3 linked regions of the Coturnix japonica genome follow. The protein of the gene in region 1 binds, or shares a complex with, the protein of each later gene. Links are inferred from orthologs where the notes say so. Each region holds a gene or a part of one and is shown on either strand. Other genes may lie near its edges. The genes, in order: NOG, BMP7 and BMP2.

Evidence for each region.
Region 2: the proteins of NOG (region 1) and BMP7 are in contact, whole or in part, in a crystal structure (PDB 1M4U), measured with the Homo sapiens proteins. The link is inferred for Coturnix japonica from reciprocal best matches to the Homo sapiens genes NOG and BMP7. Residues at the interface, in NP_005441.1 of Homo sapiens: His29, Tyr30, Leu31, His32, Ile33, Arg34, Pro35, Ala36; in NP_001710.1 of Homo sapiens: Phe365, Pro366, Leu367, Asn368, Ser369, Asn375, Ile378, Val379.
Region 3: the proteins of NOG (region 1) and BMP2 are in contact, whole or in part, in a crystal structure (PDB 7AG0), measured with the Homo sapiens proteins. The link is inferred for Coturnix japonica from reciprocal best matches to the Homo sapiens genes NOG and BMP2. Residues at the interface, in NP_005441.1 of Homo sapiens: Ile33, Arg34, Pro35, Ala36, Pro37, Ser38, Asp39, Asn40, Pro42, Leu43, Val44, Asp45, Leu46, Ile47, His49, His199, Arg204, Arg206, Pro219, Ile220, Gln221, Tyr222, Pro223; in NP_001191.1 of Homo sapiens: Trp310, Asp312, Trp313, Val315, Ala316, Pro317, Pro318, Gly319, Tyr320, Ala368, Ile369, Ser370, Met371, Leu372, Tyr373, Lys379, Val380, Val381, Leu382, Lys383, Asn384, Tyr385, Gln386, Met388.

Annotation. Positions count from the first base shown.
Region 1 is NC_029533.1:7,833,257-7,839,972, reverse strand, and holds NOG (noggin), read left to right. Parts: upstream 1-2,774; 5' UTR 2,775-3,390; coding exon 3,391-4,062; 3' UTR 4,063-4,637; downstream 4,638-6,716. UniProt on the Homo sapiens protein: Inhibitor of bone morphogenetic proteins (BMP) signaling which is required for growth and patterning of the neural tube and somite. Essential for cartilage morphogenesis and joint formation.
Region 2 is NC_029535.1:10,546,446-10,553,785, forward strand, and holds the start of BMP7 (bone morphogenetic protein 7), read left to right. Parts: upstream 1-3,051; coding exon 3,052-3,571; intron 3,572-7,340. UniProt on the Homo sapiens protein: Growth factor of the TGF-beta superfamily that plays important role in various biological processes, including embryogenesis, hematopoiesis, neurogenesis and skeletal morphogenesis.
Region 3 is NC_029518.1:13,150,496-13,157,695, reverse strand, and holds the start of BMP2 (bone morphogenetic protein 2), read left to right. Parts: upstream 1-2,617; 5' UTR 2,618-3,050; intron 3,051-3,710; 5' UTR 3,711-3,717; coding exon 3,718-4,051; intron 4,052-6,075; coding exon 6,076-6,920; 3' UTR 6,921-7,200. UniProt on the Homo sapiens protein: Growth factor of the TGF-beta superfamily that plays essential roles in many developmental processes, including cardiogenesis, neurogenesis, and osteogenesis. Induces cartilage and bone formation.

The sequences.
Region 1 (6,716 bases):
GCCCTGTGTTCAGCACGAAGCCCCTGAGCCCTGGGGTGGCTCAGCAAACACGGTCCGTTTCTCTGGGCAGATTTAACAGGAAGCAAATCACTCTGGAATTCTCTCTGTGAATCCTTGTGGGCTGCGATTGGATCCTTAACGTAATGTGTTTTCAGAGCTGTGCCTCCAGTGTCCCAGCAGGGCAGCTACAGGCCTCTTCTCTCCTCATCAGCGCTGTGACCCTGCAGGAGCAGCATCTCCAGCTAGCCCACATTGGCTTCCTGTGTGCCTTGAAAGTTGTATTTGCTTTGTCTACTGAAAAAACACTTTTTTACTACTGTCAGCACTCCAGAACCAATAAAGCTGAGGCAAAGGGAGTTGTTTCCTCCTCTGCTCCATGCACCATTGCCAGTAGAGTGACCAGCTCAGTCCTGCCTGAGCTGCTGGCCTCTGTCCCTATCCCAGGCAGGGCTGGCATCATGCACCGACTGGATCAGGCCCTTTACCTCTGGGTTTCATTTATTGCTGTTTTCAGCAAACCCCGAACTAAACCAATTTGATGGGGATCCAAATCTCTTTTCCCTCTGACCCAGAGGCTTCTGGCAGAGCAGTTACTGGCAGCTCTCCCCATCCCGCTATCAGCCATTCCACTGAGAAATTCTTGGGCCATGAGTGACTTCTGTCACTTCTGCTTTCCTTGAGCTCGTGTGGCCTCGCCAGCAGCGCGGTGCTCCATGCAGACACCTGGCCTGGAACGGGCACAGCCCAAAGCAATCCACCAACCCTTCCTGCAGCCCCACATCACAGTGCGGCACAGGAGGGTCGATGCTCCGTGGTTTAGAGTGTAGAACCTGAAGTGCACAGCTGGTATGAACAGGCTTCGTAGGCTTTATTTTTAGACTCTGAGACTGGTAGTTAAAGGAATTGTTTTCAAGTGCCAACTGAGCAGAACTGAATTTGTTCTGAAAGCAGAAATACGGGACGGCAGGAAGGAACTTCAGGATTTTTGCTTTCTCTTCAAAGCATTATTTTGAGCTGTTGTTGTTTTCGTGCCTTTGTGTTTAAACAAGGTGGCTTGAAAGAAGATTCAGAAATATTTGCAGTGACTTACAGGTTACTTTCCCTGTCTGCGCCTTGGCAGCACTGCTGTACACAATGAGGAGGAACTGGCCCACACCAGTGGCCACTTTCCCAGTAGTTTCATTGGGGAAAAATCTGATCTAACCTAATATTTGACTGCTTTCATAAAACTCCTTTACGAAGAAGTGTGGCAACAAAGACTCCCTGAAAAGAAGGAGAAGGGAGGATGGGATCCAAGGAGGAGCGGTTTCTCTCTTCCTCATCCACTTAACACCGCGCATTGCCAACTTGTACAACTCACAGCCTGAATGAAATCCCTCCCAGAAGAGCTCCACGGTGAAGCGATGCCGGCTGCAGGTGGGAAGGCAGTGAGGGCAGAGGCGGGCAGAGCCCTCACCGGCACCAGCAGCCACTTGCACCCTGAGCCCCCAGGAACCATCCCAGCAGTTCTCCCTACGGCTGCTCCACCAACACTGCAACGTGGGATGGCACTGCAGCAGCACAGCTGAGAAATGTCAGCAGTTTCCCATCTTTGTTCCTTGTCAACGTGTGCTGCTGCTGCTGCTGCTGCTGCTGAGAGGTGGTTTTAGGTTCCCGCATGTCAGGGAACACACGGTTCCGTGTTGCCCTGTAGGGTGGCCAAAAAGGAGGAGTGAAGGCTTTGCAGGTTCCACTTGAGGGCAGAGACCAACAGCAGCAGATGTCACTGTCAGGCTGCTTTTCTGGCGAGTGGCTTGGGTCAGTTTTCCACCTTTTTCATGTCATTACGTTGAATTTAGCCTAGGGAGTGAAAATAGATAATAAAATACAGTTAATTTTTAGAGAAGCAGCTCAACGCGGGTAATACAATCAACATATAACATTCATTACAATCCTAAATTTGAAGAGCAGCATTTAAACAAATGCATAAATAATTTATTAGTGGCTGAGCTTCAGTCCCATTAAACTTAGGCTCCAAAGTGCCTACACAGCCTGCGGGATTCCAGCACGTCCTCACAGAGCGCTTAGTGACCCAGCCTGCTGGCTGACCGTGCCTTGCGATGCTTTCTGTGACGCAGCACTTCTGCGGTGTCTGTAAAACTTCTCCCCGTTCGTACCGTCGATGCAGCGTTTCTGTCTTCGCTTGTCGGATCTGGCGTGGCACCGCGGCGGCGCATCCGACGGAGCAGCCCCATAACGCGGCCGTGTTGCGGCGGGGCGCGCTCCGTGCAGCTCCGCAGGAGGGGCCGCTGCCTCCGGGATGTCCGCGGGGCGAACCCGGCTCGGCCCGGCCCGGCGCCGCCAGCAGAGGGCCCGCTCTGCCCGGCCGGGCGCCGGGGCCGGGGCGTCTGCTCTGCCGCGTCCCCGCGGGCGGGCGGGCGGCCAGCCGGGCGCGTAGTGGGAATTACATCACGGGCCCATGTGCGGAGCCGGGCAAACCTTCCGCCCGCGGCCAGGTAGCGCCGCAACGCGCCGGGGCAGCGAGAGAAGCGGCGCGGATAGTGCGGGGCGGCCCGGAGCCGCGCTCCGCTCCCGGGTCGCGCTCCGCCGCTCCGCCGTGCCCATGGGGTGAGCGCCGCCGGCACCAGCCACCGCTACCGGCGGGAGGAGCGGAACGGAGCGGAGCGGAGCGCTGCCCAGAGCCCAGCATCTCCCGGGGAGCGGCGGGAGGCGGGGGGAGGCGGCGGGCTGCAGCCATCCCCAGCAGAGGGTGTGTGCGGGGTGGCAAGGGGGGAAAGCCGCGCTCTCCCGGACTTTTGTGGGAGTGGGGGTTGCGTTGTGCGTGTGGTTTTTTTTAAGGGGGGTGGGGTGGGTTAGAAGAGAGTCTGTGGTTTCCATGGAGATGAAGCTGAAAGTGCAGGAAATTTAAAGGCTTTGGGTCCTCGCGAAGCAGACAAACTGGTGCCAACGTGCGCGGCTGCCGTTGCTGCTGAGGAGGCGGCTTTGCGAGCGGCGGAGAGGAGCGGGGAGGAAGAGCCGGCGGCGACTGCTCGCACACGCACGGGCGGACGGCGAGGAGCGGCAGCGGAGAGCAGCAACAAAAAGAGGCGTCTGTCTCCTCGTCGCGGGGAACGCGAAAAGAAGCGGCGGCTGCGGCAGAATTTGGAGCGGCTCCACCGGGAGAGCTTTTCTCCAGCGGCTCGCGAGGAGCGCAGCGCGTCTGCGGGGCCGGCTCTACCCGCGGCCGGGGGCTGCGTGCGGCGGTGCGGGAGCGGAGCGGAGCCCCGGCACGGACAGGCGGTCCGGGATATCCGCGTCCGAGTTTTCTGATGCATTTGCTCGCACCTTCTTCCCCCGCTGCTCGGTGAACCCAGCCCCCCTCCCCACCCCCCCCCCGGCGGTCTCCCAAGGATGGATCATTCCCAGTGCCTTGTGACTATATACGCCGCGGCGGTGCTGCTGGGGCTCCGGCTGCAGCAGGGCTCCTGCCAGCACTACCTGCACATCCGCCCGGCTCCCAGCGACAACCTGCCCCTGGTGGATCTAATCGAGCACCCGGACCCTATCTTTGACCCCAAGGAGAAGGATCTTAACGAGACCTTGCTAAGGAGCCTCATGGGAGGACACTTCGACCCTAACTTTATGGCTATTTCCCTACCCGAGGACCGGCTCGGGGTAGACGATCTGGCCGAGCTGGACTTGCTGCTGCGGCAGAGACCCTCGGGAGCGATGCCCGGCGAAATCAAGGGGCTGGAGTTCTACGACGGGCTGCAGCCGGGCAAGAAGCACCGGCTGAGCAAGAAGCTGCGCAGGAAGCTGCAGATGTGGCTCTGGTCCCAGACCTTCTGCCCGGTCCTATACACGTGGAACGATCTCGGCAGCCGTTTTTGGCCCCGGTACGTCAAAGTGGGCAGCTGCTACAGTAAAAGGTCTTGCTCGGTCCCAGAAGGCATGGTCTGCAAACCTGCCAAGTCCGTGCATTTAACGATCCTGAGGTGGCGGTGCCAGCGGCGGGGCGGGCAGCGCTGCACGTGGATCCCCATCCAGTACCCCATCATCGCCGAGTGCAAGTGCTCCTGTTAGGGCTCAGTGCCCGCAGGGCTGCCGGGGACCTTTGCTGCAACACAAATAAGAGACACTGCTTTCTGGTTAACGTTGTAATGCACTGTAATGTGTAGGAGAATGTATATTGTGTGTATATATGGCACCGGTTTAATATACTATTAAAAGGTCAGTATTATACGTGAAATAATCAGCGTCTACTGTATTTTTAAGGCTATTACCCTGATCGTTGCTAATGTATCTTTTTTTTTTGTATTTATATTCCGGAGAGGAATTGCTTCGCTTTGGCGAAGTCGGTTTGTTGTTGTTGTTGTTGTTTTTTAATAAAAGGATTAAAAAATACAAACCAAACTTTTTGATAAGAAAACGTTTGCAAGCAATTTTCCATTCTTCGGAAAGCGTGTCGCTGCGTTTGAGTGGGTTTTTTTTTCTTCTTACGGACTTTAGGTTAAAAAGAAAACGCCTCGAGCACAATGTTATTGTAAATAGAACGGTCCGAATGACTTAATTCTATGTAAATGAAGAGTATCTGCTATTTATTCTTTATACCCCTGTAGTAAAAGCGCAGAGCAGAATTAAAGTCAACCACTAAAACACGTGCGGGTGCTGTTTGCTGCTCGGTGCGGCTGCTCCGCGTGTCCCGCACCCCGCACACACAGCGGGCCGATCTGCGGGGCCGCCGCTCCGGGCTTTTGTAGCCGCTTGACATTTCATTTACAACGGGACACGTGTCTTTCACACCTACCATTGTGGTGGGACGCTGCTGAAACTTGACCCTTGGGCTTCGGGGGTTTGCAGCGCAGACGCGTTATTAACCCAATCCTGTGACAGCCTCGCACGCCCTCCCCGACCGGCGACACTCGCCCTCACAGCCCATTAACTCTGGGCACCCGCCGGTCCCCAGCTGATCCGCCGCCGGCAGCGCCCGGGCTGGGTACGGACCCGCTCGTTTCGTCGTGCCCCGCGTTGCGGTGCGTTGCGGTGCGGGTGTAGCACGGCAGCGGTGCTGCACGGCCCGGCGCCGCTCTGCTCCCGAACGCCGCTGCCCGGCGGAGACCCGTCCCGCCGCCCCCTGTTTCCCCCCCGCCCGGCTCCGGCCGCCCCCGCTGCTCTGCGGGCTCCGCGGACGCGGAATTGCCCCGCGGCTCCGCCAGGACCCGCCGCCGGCAGCGGAGCGCTGGGCCGCGCCGTGCTGGGCCGGTTGTATCTCATAGATACCGAGTGCAAAAACAAACGCTCCACGTGTTCCTCAGAGGCGCCGTGACAGTGCAGAACGCCTTTTCCTTATTTATCTTGGAATCAGCGAACTTTTTTTTTTTTTTTTTTTAAACTCTCAGGGAATCCGCGCTAATCATTCTGCAGCCGCGTGTCTCTCTGACACAGCCCAGCCCTGCTTTCCCCGGCGCTGAGCTCTCCTATCTCCCACTGCATATTCATTCCCCCTCTCGCCGTCTCGGTGCGTTTTACCGTCCGTCTCTTTGCTTTTAATTTCAATACTTAAGGAAAAAAAAGAAAAAAAAAATCAGATCTCGGGACATTTCGGGTATTCATTAACCGAGTGAAGAGGAACGGAGGCATTATTACTCACATAGAAGGCACCCTGCCCCCATGTCTATCTAAGGGTTCATTGTAAAAGGATTAAAAGTTAAAGACCTTCATCTTATGATTCTTTCATTTAATCTTCGTGGCGCCTGAAAGACATGCTGGATGGATGATCACATTTAAAATATTCCTAATGTCGGCTACCTTAGGACTCCAGGCAGGGCAAACAAACGTAATTTATTTCTAGAAGAAAGGGGATATTGAGATGTTTAAGTTTATGAACCACCATTACCATGTATATTTGTTAGGTTCTGACAAATACCCAAATAACATTAAAATCAGCCATTCATCACATATGAATTTATGCAAAACCTTCTATGCCTGGGGCCAATTTTTTTTTAGACAGTTTCACTTGCAAAAAAAAAAAAAAAAAGCCAAAAGCGCGAGTTTTTCATGGCTGGTAAACAGGAGAATTATGCGAACAGAAACTATTTCATGCTGGGATGGCAGCCAGCGACTCGGGAATGTCAACAAAAGTTCTCCGAAGGTTGAAAATGTCACTGGATTACAATACAAGGTCCTTTGCCCCATTAGCAAACGTTACTAGGTAATATTCCCACTGGTAGCGAGGGACTCGCCCCCCATTCATCCCTGGGCGATCCCGCAGTGGGGCACACAGATGCTGTCTGCAGACCGGCTCTGGCTGCCATCAGATGTGAGCGCTGCGGGGCTGTGCGTGTGTGTGCGGGGGGTGAGCGCCGTGTGCTCAGCACACAGCTGGCTCCTGCTTCACCTCCTCAGCCAACGAAGCTCCAGTGCTGAGAAATAAGGTCATATTTTGGGTTAAAAAAATCGACTCTCACCCTCCACAAGGCACGTGATTTTTATTATTTTTTTTTTAACGAACTAACTGAATTTTGTCAGCTGGTGGAGCAAAAATAAACGAGTCGTTTCCACTGTTGTTTCTGGTCAGGTTCACTTTCTGGTCCTCCTGCCCCAGTGTTGAAATGTTTGGCTTGTAGTGGAAGTGTTTCAAGCCAAACAAATAAAAGAGCTTTCTGGTGAATGTTTCTATGCAAATCTTTTTAATATTAGATTTTGTAATATGTTTTTAGAACAAAATTGAATTATGG
Region 2 (7,340 bases), on another chromosome or scaffold:
GATGATGACATGAAGGTGCCAACATTTCAGCACGCTGTCTGTGGTGGAACCGACCCTATGGAAGCAGGATGGCGGTCACACAGCAGGAAGAAAGGAGGGAAGAGAAGGATGTTGTCCATGAGAAAGACAATCCCCTTTGTACCTTCCTTGTCTGAAAGGGATTTGAAATTCAAGCTCAGATCTGAGGGCTGAACCACTGCAGTCTGAGCTGCATCATCCTTCATTGTATGCAGCAGAATAAACGCTGCTTTGTGTCCCACTGCGGGCTGAAGTCAATCGCTGTGAGCCTCGTGTTAAAGAAATGACTCTTTAACAGACCCCCGCTCCTTTCACACTCACAGCAGTTTTGTTTTTAAGAATACACACAAGCAGATCCTGCACTGCAACTATAATGCATTTCTTTAATGCTCTACCTGGTGCAATAGGAGCATAGAAAGCACTGCTAGAAAAGATTACCAACTACTTCTATGAAAGCAGGGGATACAATTTCAGTACTCCCCCCCCCCTTTTTAAAGAACACATCCTACATTAAATCAGGAAGTATCCAATCTCAGACAAAACCAGACCACTTAAGCCAACAAAACAAGAAGGAAATAGATTCAAACATCACTTTTAAAAGAAATATGTCAAACCCAGAGGCTTCAAGGTTTGCATTTCTTCTATTGCTATTTCTTCAATGACACATACCGCTTCAGCCACTGTTACCTAAGGTGTTGAGTCACGATCCAAACCTTCCAAGTAGAATTTTTCTTCTCTTTTCCCTCTGAGTGATGCCGCTTTAAAACACAACACTGAGCTGAGATTTATTCAGTTTGAAAATGTGAGCTGGGAGCCACTCAGGTGTAAGTGATTCAGGCAGCGGGACCAGCTGCTCCCCATTCCACCAGTCCACCCTTACAGACTTTCAGCCTCCCTGACCCTGAGGAAGGTGAGTCCCCTTGTCCTGCTGTGTGATGAAAGGGCAACTCTGCCTACAAGGAACAAAAAAAGAAAGTGAAATTGAGTTATCTGTGGCTGAAAGGCAGAGCGGGGGATGCTCAGTCACCTCCCTGGTTTAGGGAAACGCCAGGCATCCCAGCCCAGTCCTGCCACCCTCTCTTTGCCCCCAGCTGTGCATTCCTGTGGCCTCCCTCATTCCAGCACCATCCCTAACGCACTCAGTCAGATCAAGGAGCTGATCCAGCAGAAAATTAACTCAGCAAAAACAAATAAGAAATGGTTTGAGAAAGATTATGTTTAAAAACAGAACAGGCTTCCTGACCTGTGCGCACCGGGAGGGCAGGGAGCCTGCAGCTGGAGGGCTGTGCTGGGTTTCAGCAGCTTGGATTTCAGTTGGTCAAGAAACCACACCCAAGGCAGGAGAGAAATTTAGGCAAATACCTGCCTGGTTAAGAGCAGGTTGGTACTGCTCCTCAGGAAGTATGGGAGAGTTTAATCTTAACTGTTTAATCTGAGTTTAATCTGAAGCACAAGTGCTAAGGGCTGATGCTCCCATCAGTGAGGGGTGAGGGGAAGGCACCCACCTGGGGTGGCATTTGAGCCCCCCCAAAGCGCCCCGGGCTTAGCACTGCTCCACACTATGGACCCTGGCTGCCCTGCACTGCCTCTGCCCCCACCACCATGCATTCCTAAACAACTGAGCTGGATTCAGTGCTGGTTCCACCACTATTTCAATAGCTCTGTGAGTCATGTCAATGCCATGCCTCAGTTTCCCTGTTATTAAAAGGTGCACACAGACGCACACAAACACACTAAACCATTCTGTGTCTTTCCCATGCAGCTCTTAACCAGTTACCTGCTGTCTGCAGGAGGAATTTAAACATAAAGAGCTAAAAGGAGGGCAGAACTTCCTGTTTCCAGAGCAGATGGAGGATCTGGTGCTAGCACTGCTAGTTATTTCTTGTCCAAAAACACCAGAGGAGCAATCTAACAAACTGCACTGACCTTCTTTCTCCCTGACTTTCTTCTTTCTCCTTTGCCTGAGGAATGAATCTTAATGGCAGCACCGACTTCGTGCATATGTCTGGTTCTCGAGGTTACCTGGGGCTGGGATCAGCATCGCAGATAAACCCTTCCATCCTGCTTTCCTCTTGCTTTCCAAGTGAGACCCGAGGAAGCAGCAGAGTTCATGGTGCTCTCAGCCTATCGTTACTGAGTAGCACTACCCAAACTGGCCGGGGCTGAGGCTGCATTGCTGTAGGTGTTACACACACGGAGTTAGAAACCGTGAAATCAGCGCTTAGAAAAGTAGGCGATTCATTCCCAGGGCGTTGCGCAAAGGTGTGCAGGGGGCAGCAGAACGGGCAGGGGACAGAGCAGGGGAACGCGGCGGCACGAGGTGCCCGAGCAGGACGGCAGCATCGCAGCACGGCCACGATACCGGGTTTGCGGCTCTGAGACGCCGAGTCCATCGCCCCGGTTGCATTAATGCGCACGAGTGCACAACTCTGCGCTTTAACTACTTGGGAGTCGCGGGATTTGCGCCGGCCGGGCACTGCTGCGCGCTGTTTGCGCGCACTGACGGCGTATCCGCACCTCCAAACTCTGCCTCCGCTCAGACCGCCCTCCTCCCCTCCTTCCCTCCCTCTCGGGGCGTCTTCTCCTTCATCACGTCCACGTTAATGCGACCGCCGGGACCGGCCGCCCTCGCCCCGAGCCAGCAGCACACGTCCTGCACAGCAACCTGATCGTCAGCCGTTCCCCCTCCCGGCGGCAGCGCGGCTTTGCTCTCCCCAGCGGTTTGCAGCGGGCAGGCGAGAGAGGAGCGCGTTGGGTTCCGCTCCTGCTCCTCCCACCAGAGCCACCCTCCCGCTGCCTCTCCGCGGAGCACGCAGCGCACACGGCTCCGCCGCTCCGTGCGGGATCGACCGCGGCGCTCGGGCTCCGCTCCCGGACGCAGCGCTCTCGCTCTCGCTCCGCTCTCGCTCCGCTCCGTCCTCCTCTCTCGCCGTCCCATGGGCCGGGGCCGCCGCGCAGCCCCCGCCGGGCCATGAACGGGCCGCGGCTCCTCCGCGGGGGCCGGCGGCCGGCACCGTGAGCGCGGGGCCGCGCATGCCGGAGGGGCGCGTCCCCCGGCGGGGCAGCCCCGCGCCCCCCGCGCCGCCCCCCAGCCGCCGCCGCCGCCGCCGCCGCCTCGCCGCGATGCCGGCGGGGCGAGGGCAGCCCGCCTCCTGGCTGCTGGTGCTGGGCGCCGCCGCCCCCGCCCTCTGGCTGCGCTGCGTCCTCGCCGACTTCACGCTGGACAACGAGGTGCACTCCAGCTTCATCCACCGGCGGCTGCGCGGCCCCGAGCGCCGCGAGATGCAGCGGGAGATCCTCTCCATCCTCGGCCTGCCGCACCGCCCGCGGCCGCACCTCCACGGCAAGCACAACTCGGCCCCCATGTTCATGCTGGACCTCTACAATGCCATGTCCGTGGAGGAGGGGGCGGCGGGGGCGGCGGCCGAGGAAGGCGAGGGCTTCTCCTACCCTTACAAGCCCATCTTCAGCACCCAGGGGCCGCCGCTGGCCAGCCTGCAGGACAGCAACTTCCTCACCGAGGCCGACATGGTCATGAGCTTCGTCAACTTGGGTGAGTGCCCGGGGCCGGGGCAGGGCTGGGCTGCGGGCAGGTGGCGGGATGGATGGTGAGGATGGATGGGAGCGGTCCTTGGAAGGTGACGGTGTGGTGGCCAGGCCAGAGTGCGTGCCCAGGGCTCCTGCTGCCATCCCAGCACACCTGCACGCTGACCCGCCGAGCACTTTACTTGCTTCTCCACCGAATAGTTCCGTGCCATCATTCCTAAAGTGGCCCTGCAGGTAGGAGCTGAGCTGCTGGGCTCAGCCGTGTCCATCGTCACCAAGGAGGACATGAAGCCTGCACGCTCATGGCGCTGCGGGACACGGGGCCACCAGGATGTGGGGCTCCCAGTGTGTTCCCAATGGCCTGGGGACATCCCACAATAAATCCTCACTCACTCCTGCAGCTTTTTCTGTTGTCCTCCATGAGTGCCACCAACTTGCCTCTCTTCCCAAGCACATGTGGATGGCTTTATGCAAATGATAAGAAGTTGGCATGCTTTGTATGCAGCTCGCTAGGCCTCTCTAATTGGATGCTACGGCCCAATCTGACTTCTATTTGCTTGCTGTAGATTGCACACCCGTTTGGACTGACTTGGCCGGATTTGAGTAAAATGCCATCAGGGCAAGTATTCTATTTTCAATATATAATTACAGACCGTGTTTCACTCTGTCCGCTTTTAGACCTCACCATACACAGCACTGAAACCACCACATGTGCAGACTGGGTGTCTGCAAAGACCCGGCACAACGCAAGTAGCATTTCCAAAACAAGATCCACTCATTGGTCCCAACCCGAGAGGAGAGAAGAGCAGAGCAGCGCATCGCCGGCATGTAACCTGCTGGGGATCGCAGACACTCCCATCATCCATAAAGCTTTTAATGCCTCCTGGGTCTCTGGGCTCAGGGGCAGCACAAACTTCTACCTCTCCAATCCCAGAGCTTGTAGTGTCGCTATCTGCAAAGCTCGATGGCAAACAATAGTAATTACTGGACACAACAGCCGTCCCAACACACGTCTTCCATTACATGGGATGCTGTGAGAGACCTCTGATTTGCACAAGCTGCACCTCCTCATTGAATGCCATAAGCTCTGCAGCAGGACTCTCTGAGTTACATTTGGCCTAGGGACTGTGCTCTTTAGGAGGGCTGATGCTTTCCATTTACAATTATTGTGTTTGCCTAATCACTGCTAGATACTTAAGCTGGTCAGCAATTATACGTTTAAAACCAAATATTTGAGCAGCCAAAAGGATGAATGGTGGTCAAATATTTGGCTTTAGAGATAAGAGCGATCTCGCAAACATTGTTCTGTGTGGATCCTGGGTCCTAAACAACGTACAGACACCCAGAGCACAGAAGACAAAGGACGTGGAAACAAGCATAGTGAAATTCACACTTCTGTGAGTTTCAGTGGAATGGAATGCACAGAATTTTAGTGGAGCAGAGCACATAAGAAGTGTGTAAGTACCAATGAGGGACGTGCAGCTCTGTGCTGGTACGCGGAGCTGCGGCTGCACTGCGCTCTGTCCTGCACTGCCTGCACTGCCGGCATCACGAGAGGCCTTCCCTGCATCCTGTGGAAGGGTTAAACAAAAGGAGTTAATCTGCTGGTCCCAAACTGGAATACAAATGGTTTGTGATTAGAGTGGAACCCATCCATAAACAGCAAAGTAAACAGGGATATGTCTAAGTAAGAACTTCCTATAGGGTGGGTTGTGCCTGTATGAACTGCGCACACTCAGTAATCTCTGTCCTGACGTGATATGATGGCGATGGTGGATGGACCCATTTTGACTTGTTGTGTTTTGTAGTTGGCTCAGAAATCTGAAAGCATTCCCTATGCAAAGTACTGTCAGCATGGTCAGCGAGAAGTAAGAGTACAGGCAAAACCCAAAGGCTTTAAACAAGGCAGGTGGGATCCCTACCAGCAAGGCACCTCTCCGAGGTTTATCTGCGCTGTTTTGTTCCCTTGTCAACAGTGCATGCCAGGACGAGTTTAAAAAGGACATAGATCCGTAATAGCTTTCTTCATCCCTGTGCACACCTTTCATCCCATTATAGTCATCGGTCTTTCATCTTTACAGGACAAAGACAGGCTTGTTTAGGGACGTTTGAATGAATTAGCCCAGCCACTCACGTATATAGGAAAATGTAACACCTGCTTTGATATGTACAGTGCGCCATAACATCCAGGGAAAATTAGAAGCTCTGTTGTAGAACTGATGCTTTTTGGGAGATATTCTGCCGTGATCCCTTTTACACCAGAGCTCAATTGCTGGATGCAGGCTGTAGTAAACTGTGTCCTACTTTTGTGAGAGCTCCTCTGCAAGCATTGCGTTTCACAGGTAGGCTTTTATTACTATGGCAGAGCCATTGCAATGAGGAAGTGTCACCGCATGATCAACCTTCATCTCAGTAGTGGAGGAAATAAAAGTGACTGAAGAAATAGTAATTCTGAATTTAAATAAACAAAGCGTGTTATTCCAGGCTTCCAAATGCTCATCTACAAATACGGGTAGCTTTGTGTTTGTTTGCTGTGTTCATATTCCCCATCTATCTATTCTAGTCATGCAGTTTTGGAGGAAGATGTGTCAGAAATAAAGATTTATACTGAAAGGCTGCCTGGGTTGCATAGTGAAAAAGAAAAAAAAAGACCCAAACCAAGCACAAATACACACTGATTTCTATGGAGATGCTGTGTGTATTTATCCCAAGGAATTTACACTGGGCATTGGCAGGGAGGAACCCAAGCACAGGTGCTCCATCTCAGGGTTATGTTGCAGGGAGCTCTGTACTAAGCATGTAAAATTCCTGTAAAATCTTGACAATTAATTAGATTTAGATTTATAACCAGTTAATTCACAGGCGACATTTTGTATTAACTTACACCTGTGCTAAGATGGATGAGGAATGGATTTGTGTCAAGAATGAATTGACGTGTAAATTAAAAGAGAGTTTAGCCACAGTGGCCTGACGAAGTCAGTCAGTTAATTGCTGTCTAATTTTACACAATTTATTACTGCAATTTCATTAGCTGGGATTCCATTTCAGACCCACGTCCAAACGAAGTTTACAAGCGGATCCATTTTAAGCACTGAAAAAAACACAAAACATTTTCTGCATCCGTTTAATTTCAAGTTTATAAACAGCAGCTGAAGAGTAAACATCCTCTGCCTTGCGTAGACCCTCGTCTAAAAATAATTGAGCTGTCCTCCTGCGGGTGATCCTGACTTGGTAAACAGACTGAACGTTTTCTTACCGCATCGGCACAAGTGCTGTGCAATTTGTTAATTTGTCTCGTGGTTGATTATAAAATGAACAACGTTGCTTAATCCTGGCGAAAAAATAGGGGGGGGGGGGAGTGGAATTAGTCATTCTTGGAAGGAGCACATCAAAGTGGCTTTTGTTAATGTAAGTGAAAGAGCTGAAGAGCCCCCAAGTTTCCTTTTATTTCATACCATCTGGCTATCCTTTTTGTTGACAAGTGTTTGGCATGGGGAACCATCTCCCTGCCCTTTAATAACAGGCTTTAACACTGTAGGGTATTAGAAAAAGATTCTATAACAGTTAAAAAATTTCCTTCGGGGAATACTTTATAAAGTGAGCACGGGCTGCAGGCATTTGCAGCTGTAACCTGGCTTGTGTTAAAATTTGGAAGGGCTGCCTTGCATTCCAGCTCACTACAGGCCTTCGTTGGTGTACAGCCAAAGGTTAATATAGATGTCACACAGTTTTTCTTTGGAGAGCCTCAGATATAAGAGTACGCATACAGCTGTGTT
Region 3 (7,200 bases), on another chromosome or scaffold:
ACAAACACATCTTCAGAAAACAGCATGAAGTGTTTTCAAGAATGAGCACACATCATATTCGCACAGATGCCAATGGGGAGCCCAGCTGAGAAACAGAAAAGCTTTCAGCTAATCTCTATCAAAGCCTCAACATCACTAACACACCTTAACTCGTTTTCAGCAGCCACCCCCCTCACGTTTGATGCTGCATCATGTAGATTTTTCATGCTTCAGCATAGGCTTCTCTGAAGAGGTTTAGTCACTGCAGCGCACCAAATACATGAATCACCCTCAGTACTGTTAGTGTACCATGTCAAAAGCTCACTATGTCTGAGGGAAATTGGCCTAAGAGGGGAATTTTAGAAGTGCTTGGTGTTGGTCTAGCAGGTCTGCTGAAGTCAGTGGTAGAAGTGTTGACCAGCAGTGTGCACAGAGCTCTATGTGTGCTGCTGCAGACCTGTCCAACGACTAGACCAGGATCTGGAGTGTTTTGTTAGTGACTGTGAGTCCCAGCTCGAGGTCCCGGCTGCATTTCTCATTGAGGTCTTCCAGCTGAAGGCTTCTGCCCGCTGCAACGTTGGCAGTGCTCACAGTTAAACCAGGACAGAAGAAAGACACTACCTGGTGGCACTACAGAAACACAATTGGATGTAGTAGGAAGAACAGAGTTGTGCGGAAGAAGACTTTCTTCTTGCCTTCCCGTGCTTGAAAAACAGTTCTTACCGGGTTGTAAAACCTATCTGTCTGTGGGTGCTTTATTTCACTAAGAAAACCCAACAGTGCATAAAGTTGAGATCTACCAGCTGCAATTGGGCACCTGCAGAGGAGCACCTGGATCTGAAACCCAAGAAGCAGGTGCCCTTAGCTGAATGCTCACTGGCTCAGATAAAGCCCACAGCAAACCACAACACTGTGAAGCAAGAGAAAAAGAAAAGGAAGAAAAAAAAGAGAGTAGATGTGCAGAAAAGGAAAATACAAATGGATCAGTCCAGTCAACCATACAGAGTTGAGGAGTATGGAAATGAAGCTTCACAAAGGTGACACATCTGTGCGGTCCAGCTTCTTACAACCCAATGTCCATATCAGATCTCTTCAGCACCAGTGCTGGTTTCTCTGTCAGGAGAGGAGCTGATGCACCAGCTCTGTGTGAAGGGGAGCTCTGTGGGGGAGTGCTGCTGTGGGACACCTGGGGGAGGTGACCCTTCTGCATACGTGCTGCTTTGCCACCTGGCTTCTTCCTGGCATGACCCACGACAGACTGAACTGGGATGGCAATTAGAAGTTCTCATTTAACGCCAGTGATGTGTAAACAACACTGCCATTGTTATTTTAGTGCTGATTTACATAATGGGCACAGCATCACACTGCTTTCACCTTGGTCGTGAAGAGGACTCGCAGGGAGTCATAAAACTAAACTTTATTTGTACTGAAATGCAACAGAAAAGTTACAGAACTTTTGAGGGCCTTCACACGAGGGTCAGCTGAGGGGGCGTGGGGAGCAGCTGGGTGCACAGTGCTGGTTAGTCCCTGCTGGGCACTGTCCCATGGCACAGCTGCGGCTCACAAGGCGGCAGGAGAAGGGACCTGCCCCAGTGCAGATGCTGCGTCGTGCCCTAAGTCAAGATGGAGGGAGAAGGCCACTCCCAAAGGAGGAGCTGGGAATGGAGGTGTCAAGGTTGTTATTGCTTTAGATTCTCATCCGCAGTGTTTTACATTTGGCTGTAGCTTCTTTGCAGATGAAGTCCCTGAGGGGCGTTTGTGACCCCTGCGGAGGGGCCGCGTCCCACACAGGCGAACGAAAGCCGGGGTAGCGGCCAACCCCGACCCCGAGCGCGGAGCCGCGTCGAGGCGCAGAGCGGCACAGGGGAGCGGGCAGGTGCGGAGCGGGGCAGCGGGCGGGGAGCGCCGCTCCGCCGCCACTGGGGGGCAGCCACGGCTCAGGAACGCGAGCGGCCGCGCGGGTCGGGCCGGGGCCGGGGCACGGGGCAGCGTCCCGGGTGATCCCGGAGCGCCCCGACGGCGGCTGAGCGGGGAGAGCGGCTCCCAACCCGCGGCCGGGCACGGCGGCGGTACGGTGCGGGACGGGACGGGACGGGGCGGGCCGGGAGCCGCTCGGCAAGTCGGGAGCGACGCCGGGGGCTCGGGGTCCGGTCCCATCGCGCGACCCGGCGCTCGGTCACTGTGCGGGGAGCGGCGGGACGGTCCCGTGCGGGCGGACGGACGGACACACAGACTGGCCAGAGCCCGGCGCGGTGCGTCCGGGCGAGGCAGGGAACGGGCGAAGGAGGAGGAGGGAGAGAAGCGGCGAGGGAGGGAGAGACGGAGGGAGGCGGCGTCTCCTTTAAAAGCCGTGCGGGGCCGCGGCCCGCTCCCACAGGGCGGCTGTGATTGGCGCGGGCCCGCGAGCCTCCGGGGTCGTGACATCGGAGCGCAACAAAAAGCCGCGGCCGCGTTCGGCCGCCCCCGTGCATGGTGCGGCGCGGGCGGGACGGGTGCGCGCTCGCAGCGCTGTCCCCACCGGTGCTCACACCCTCCGGAGGGGTTTTGTTGGTGGATATTTTTTGTAATGTAGCTTTTTATTTCGTTCTCCTCCTCGGTTGGGTTTTTCCTTTTTTTTTTTTTTTTTTTTTTNTTTTTTTTTTTTTTCTTTTAAAGGCGCGGAGCAAAGCGAAGCCCAGCTCCCATCTCCATGTCGCTGCGGGATTCCCGGTAAATAGCCGCCCGTGCGCTGCGGGTGATGCGCAGGACGCTCGCGGAAGGCGCCGTTCCGCTCCGTAACGCGTAGCACCCACTCGCGGGCGGGCAGCGCGCACCGAGAGGAGAACGGAAAGGAAACACCGACTTTGCGACCGGCGCTTTGCGAAAGGAGAAGCGCGGACTTTCCTCCTGCCTCCCGCCCGCCCGCCCGAGGCATGTTCCCGAGGCGCTCCGCACCGCGGGCAGCTCCCGTTTTCCGCCCGGCAGCCGCAGAGGAGCAGCAGCAGCGCGGTTCGGAGTAACTCCAAGTGATGCGGGGACCACAGCCCGAGAGCAGCACGCGCTCCCGCAGACGCCAGCCCCGCCGCACTCAGGTACGGCCCCGCGGCCGCCGATCGCCGTCTCCGCAGGATGACTCCGTGCAACACCGGGGGGACGGGACGGAGAGCGGGTAGCGAGCCTTAACCCCGCGCCGAGTTTGGCGGGGGAGAAGAGCGTCCCGCGGCTCCTGCTCGAGCGCGAGCGGCTTTTATTTTTTTTTTCCTTTTTTTTACTTTTTTTTTTTCATCTTTTTCTTTTTTTTTTTTTCCCTCTTCATTCCACGCCGGGATAGCGGGGCCCTCCTCCCTGTGACCGGGGAAGCCGCGGCTGGAATAGCCTGCCCCGGGCACGGCCGGGAGGTCCCTCTCCCACCGCCCCGTCCCTCTCCGCCCCCCGTTCCCTCTGCGGGAGGCCGTGGCCGCACGCACCTGCGCCCGCCGAGGGCGGCTCTCCGGCCACCCGCGCCCCTTCCCCTCGCCCCCCACCCCCGCTGCCCGGCCCGCCCGGCTCCTTTTGATCCCCCGCCGCGGGGATTTGGTGCCGCCGCGCACCTGAGCCCCGACGGGGCCCCCCCGGCCGCGCCGTCCCGCTGTCCGCTCGCCATGGGCCGGCAGCCACCTGCGGAGTGGCCCCGGCTGCCCCCCGCTTCGCGGCGCGCTCCCCCGGCGCGGTGCCCGCGCTGACCGCCTCCCATCGCCTCCTCCTCCGCGCAGGTCGACCATGGTTGCCGCCACCCGCTCCCTCCTGGCGCTGCTGCTCTGCCGGGTGCTGCTGGGCGGCGCGGCCGGCCTCATGCCGGAGGTGGGACGGCGGCGCTTCAGCGAACCGGGCCGCTCCGCCTCGGCCGCGCAGCGCCCCGAGGACCTCCTGGGAGAGTTCGAGCTGCGCCTGCTTCACATGTTTGGGCTGAAGCGGCGGCCCAGCCCCGGCAAGGACGTCGTCATCCCCCCCTACATGCTGGACCTCTACCGTCTGCACGCCGGCCAGCAGCTGGGCTACCCGCTGGAGAGGGCCGCCAGCCGCGCCAACACCGTGCGCAGCTTCCACCACGAAGGTAGGGGCCGAGGGACGGGCGGAGGGGAGCGGGAGGAGTGCGAGGGTGGGACGGAGGAGGGGCGGCGGGGCGGGCTCCGAGCTTCGGAGGGGGTCGCGGCTGCGTTTCCAGAGCCCACCGCGGGCTCCGGGGCCGCCGGTGTGAGGCTCTCGCCGCGCTCTGCCGGCCGCGAACGGAGCTTTCTTTGGGCGAGGCGGAACGCGAAGGAAAGCTTCCCCCGAGCCGCGGCGAAGGTTCCTAATCCCTTATCTAAATCCCCGTGGGAGATAGGCGAAGCGGGCCGGAGCGGCCTTCCCCCGGCCGCCGTCGAGCCGGAGGAGTCGCGAAGCTCGGGGCCGTGCCGCCCGGCTGGAGGTAGCGCTCCGGGGTGGAGGTAGCGCTCCGGGCTGGGGCTCCGGCTGCTGGCTGCCCGTCCGGGGGCCGTACCCAGCGAGCGGCTCACACGGCCGAGATCGCAGCCGCGTGGTCCCGCAGAGCCGTCGGTGCTTGCCGCTGCCCCGCTCTGCAGGAAGCTTTATCCCGGGATGGAACCTGCCCTGGCCATAGTCTCTGGCGCTGGCACACGGCGGCTCTGCTTTAAAGGGAATGGAAAAGCGGTCGCCCCGCGCTCTTCAGGTGGAACAGCTGAGAAAAGAAACGCGCTTAGATTTAATGGTTCTGCTGGACGGAGGTGGCCCCGGTGCCGTTTAGTGGGAAGTGAGATCAGTGGTGAAATGTCACTCTCTCTGTAGCGGGGAAGTAAACAGCAGCAGCGCGTGGCTCGTTCCTTTTAAGCCCGTACGTGGCAGGCGAGGTGCTGAGCAGGACAGGAGCCGAGGGGCACGGAGTGTAACTTGTAGGCAAACAGAGCAGCGTTGGAAGCGGTGGTGTTGCAACAAAGTCTTTGACATGGAAGGCTGTCCTCCGGTTTTCACAAACTTGAGACGAAAATCAACGTGACTCCGTTTTTCCATTGAGTTCTCACTGTTGGTTCGTGACTTCATGAGAGCAGGAGGCTGTGCCGGGAGCGCTCGCACATCTGCATATTTACAAACGCCGGGCTGGTCCCGAAGCGCTGCAGAGCTGAGCCCTGCCTGATGCGGGAAGTCGGGCTGGAGCCAGCAGGGAATGGCACGGGGCTGAGAACTGCTCACGTCAGTGCCAGCTTCCCTTCAGAAAGTGAACGGATCCCCGGGATGCTGAGTAGCAAAAAGAAAACCCAGGATTTCAGAGGGATTATTGTGGGCAAACGCTATTTCTTCCGTGTCTGCAGCAGAAACTTACAGTGTAGCAGCCCTAGATACATAGTACTCCCCCTGAAGTTCCATTCCAGTGTCTGTTGGCTGAAAGGGAAAGATGGCACGGGGCTCAGGGGCTGGTTTGGTTGCTAAAAACATTTCCTTATCCCTTTAGCATCCACCCATTCTAGCAGCTAGACCCGTTCTCACAGTCCTTTGGACTTCATACTGGGGTGTGCTTGTAAAGTGGCCTTACAGATGTTGAGGTCACTGCCTCTAGTTAACATATGCAAATCTATACATTAAGATTGAGTAAGTTACTGAAGATGTGGAGCACTGTATTTCAGAATGGAACTTAAGAGAGAGGTGCTCCAGCCATATTCTTGAAAAATGCAGAAATGCATCAATTGCCCTTAAATCCTCAGTTGGTTTCAATGATTCTCATCAGACCTCTGCTAACTGTAGTGCTCGAGTTTTCTCACTGATGTCTTTGAATTCCAACGTGATGCTTCATGTTTCTCGGCACTGGTAATGACTACCTGGAATGCAAAGAGCACCGGTATTCCATCAAAGTGCATGACAATGAATGAAGCGTTCTTAACTTTGTGCTATACATGCTTGTGTAAATAAACAGAAGGATGAGGGAGGCTGTGCTTTCTGCCTGGAAGTCTTTCAGGTCTTGTTTGTCGCATGCCAGCAGCACGTATCTGAGGGGTTTGGTTGCTTGTCTCAGTTCCTAACTGTTTTTTCTTTCTCTCCCTCTGCTCCCTGCCCCCCTCCCCTTCCCTTCTCGTTTAATCAAATTAGAAGTTTTGGAAGAACTGCCAGAAACAAGTGGGAAAACAGCACGACGTTTCTTCTTTAATTTAACTTCCATCCCTAATGAGGAGTCTATCACCTCAGCTGAACTCCAGATCTTTCGGGAGCAGGTGCACGAAGCCTTTGAGAGCAACAGCAGCTACCATCACCGTATTAATATTTATGAAATTATAAAACCAGCCACAGCCACCTCTAAGGACCCCGTCACGAGACTTTTGGACACCAGGTTGGTGCATCATAATGCAAGTAAATGGGAAAGTTTTGATGTAACGCCGGCCGTTTTGAGGTGGATTGCACACGGGCAACCTAATCATGGGTTTGTAGTGGAGGTGGTTCACTTGGACAAAGAGAACAGTGCCTCCAAGAGGCACGTTAGGATTAGCAGGTCTTTACACCAGGATGAAGATAGCTGGTCTCAGCTCAGGCCGTTGTTAGTGACGTTTGGGCACGATGGCAAGGGACACCCGCTTCACAAAAGAGAAAAGCGTCAAGTGAAACACAAACAGCGCAAACGCCACAAATACAGTTGCAAAAGGCATCCGTTGTATGTGGATTTCAGCGACGTGGGTTGGAACGATTGGATCGTGGCTCCCCCGGGCTACCAGGCGTTTTACTGCCACGGGGACTGTCCCTTCCCTCTGGCCGACCACCTCAACTCAACGAACCACGCCATTGTTCAGACTTTGGTCAATTCAGTGAATTCCAAAATCCCCAAGGCCTGCTGCGTGCCGACAGAACTGAGCGCTATCTCAATGCTCTACCTGGATGAGAATGAGAAAGTTGTGCTAAAGAACTATCAAGATATGGTTGTGGAGGGTTGTGGGTGCCGCTGACACGGCGAATATATCGGACAAATGCAAAAGAAAAAATAGAGAAAAGCTGACACTTTAATATTTCCCAATGAAGACTTTATTTATGTAATGAAAATGGAAAGAAAAAGAAAAAAAAACACAATTATTTTGAAAAATATATTTATGTCTACGGAAAGGTTGGGAAAACAAATATTTTAATCAGAGAAATATTCCTTTAAAGATTTTTAAATGTATTTTAGTTGTACATTTTATATGGGTTTAACCCCCCCAGCACATGAAGTATAATGGTCAGATTCTTATT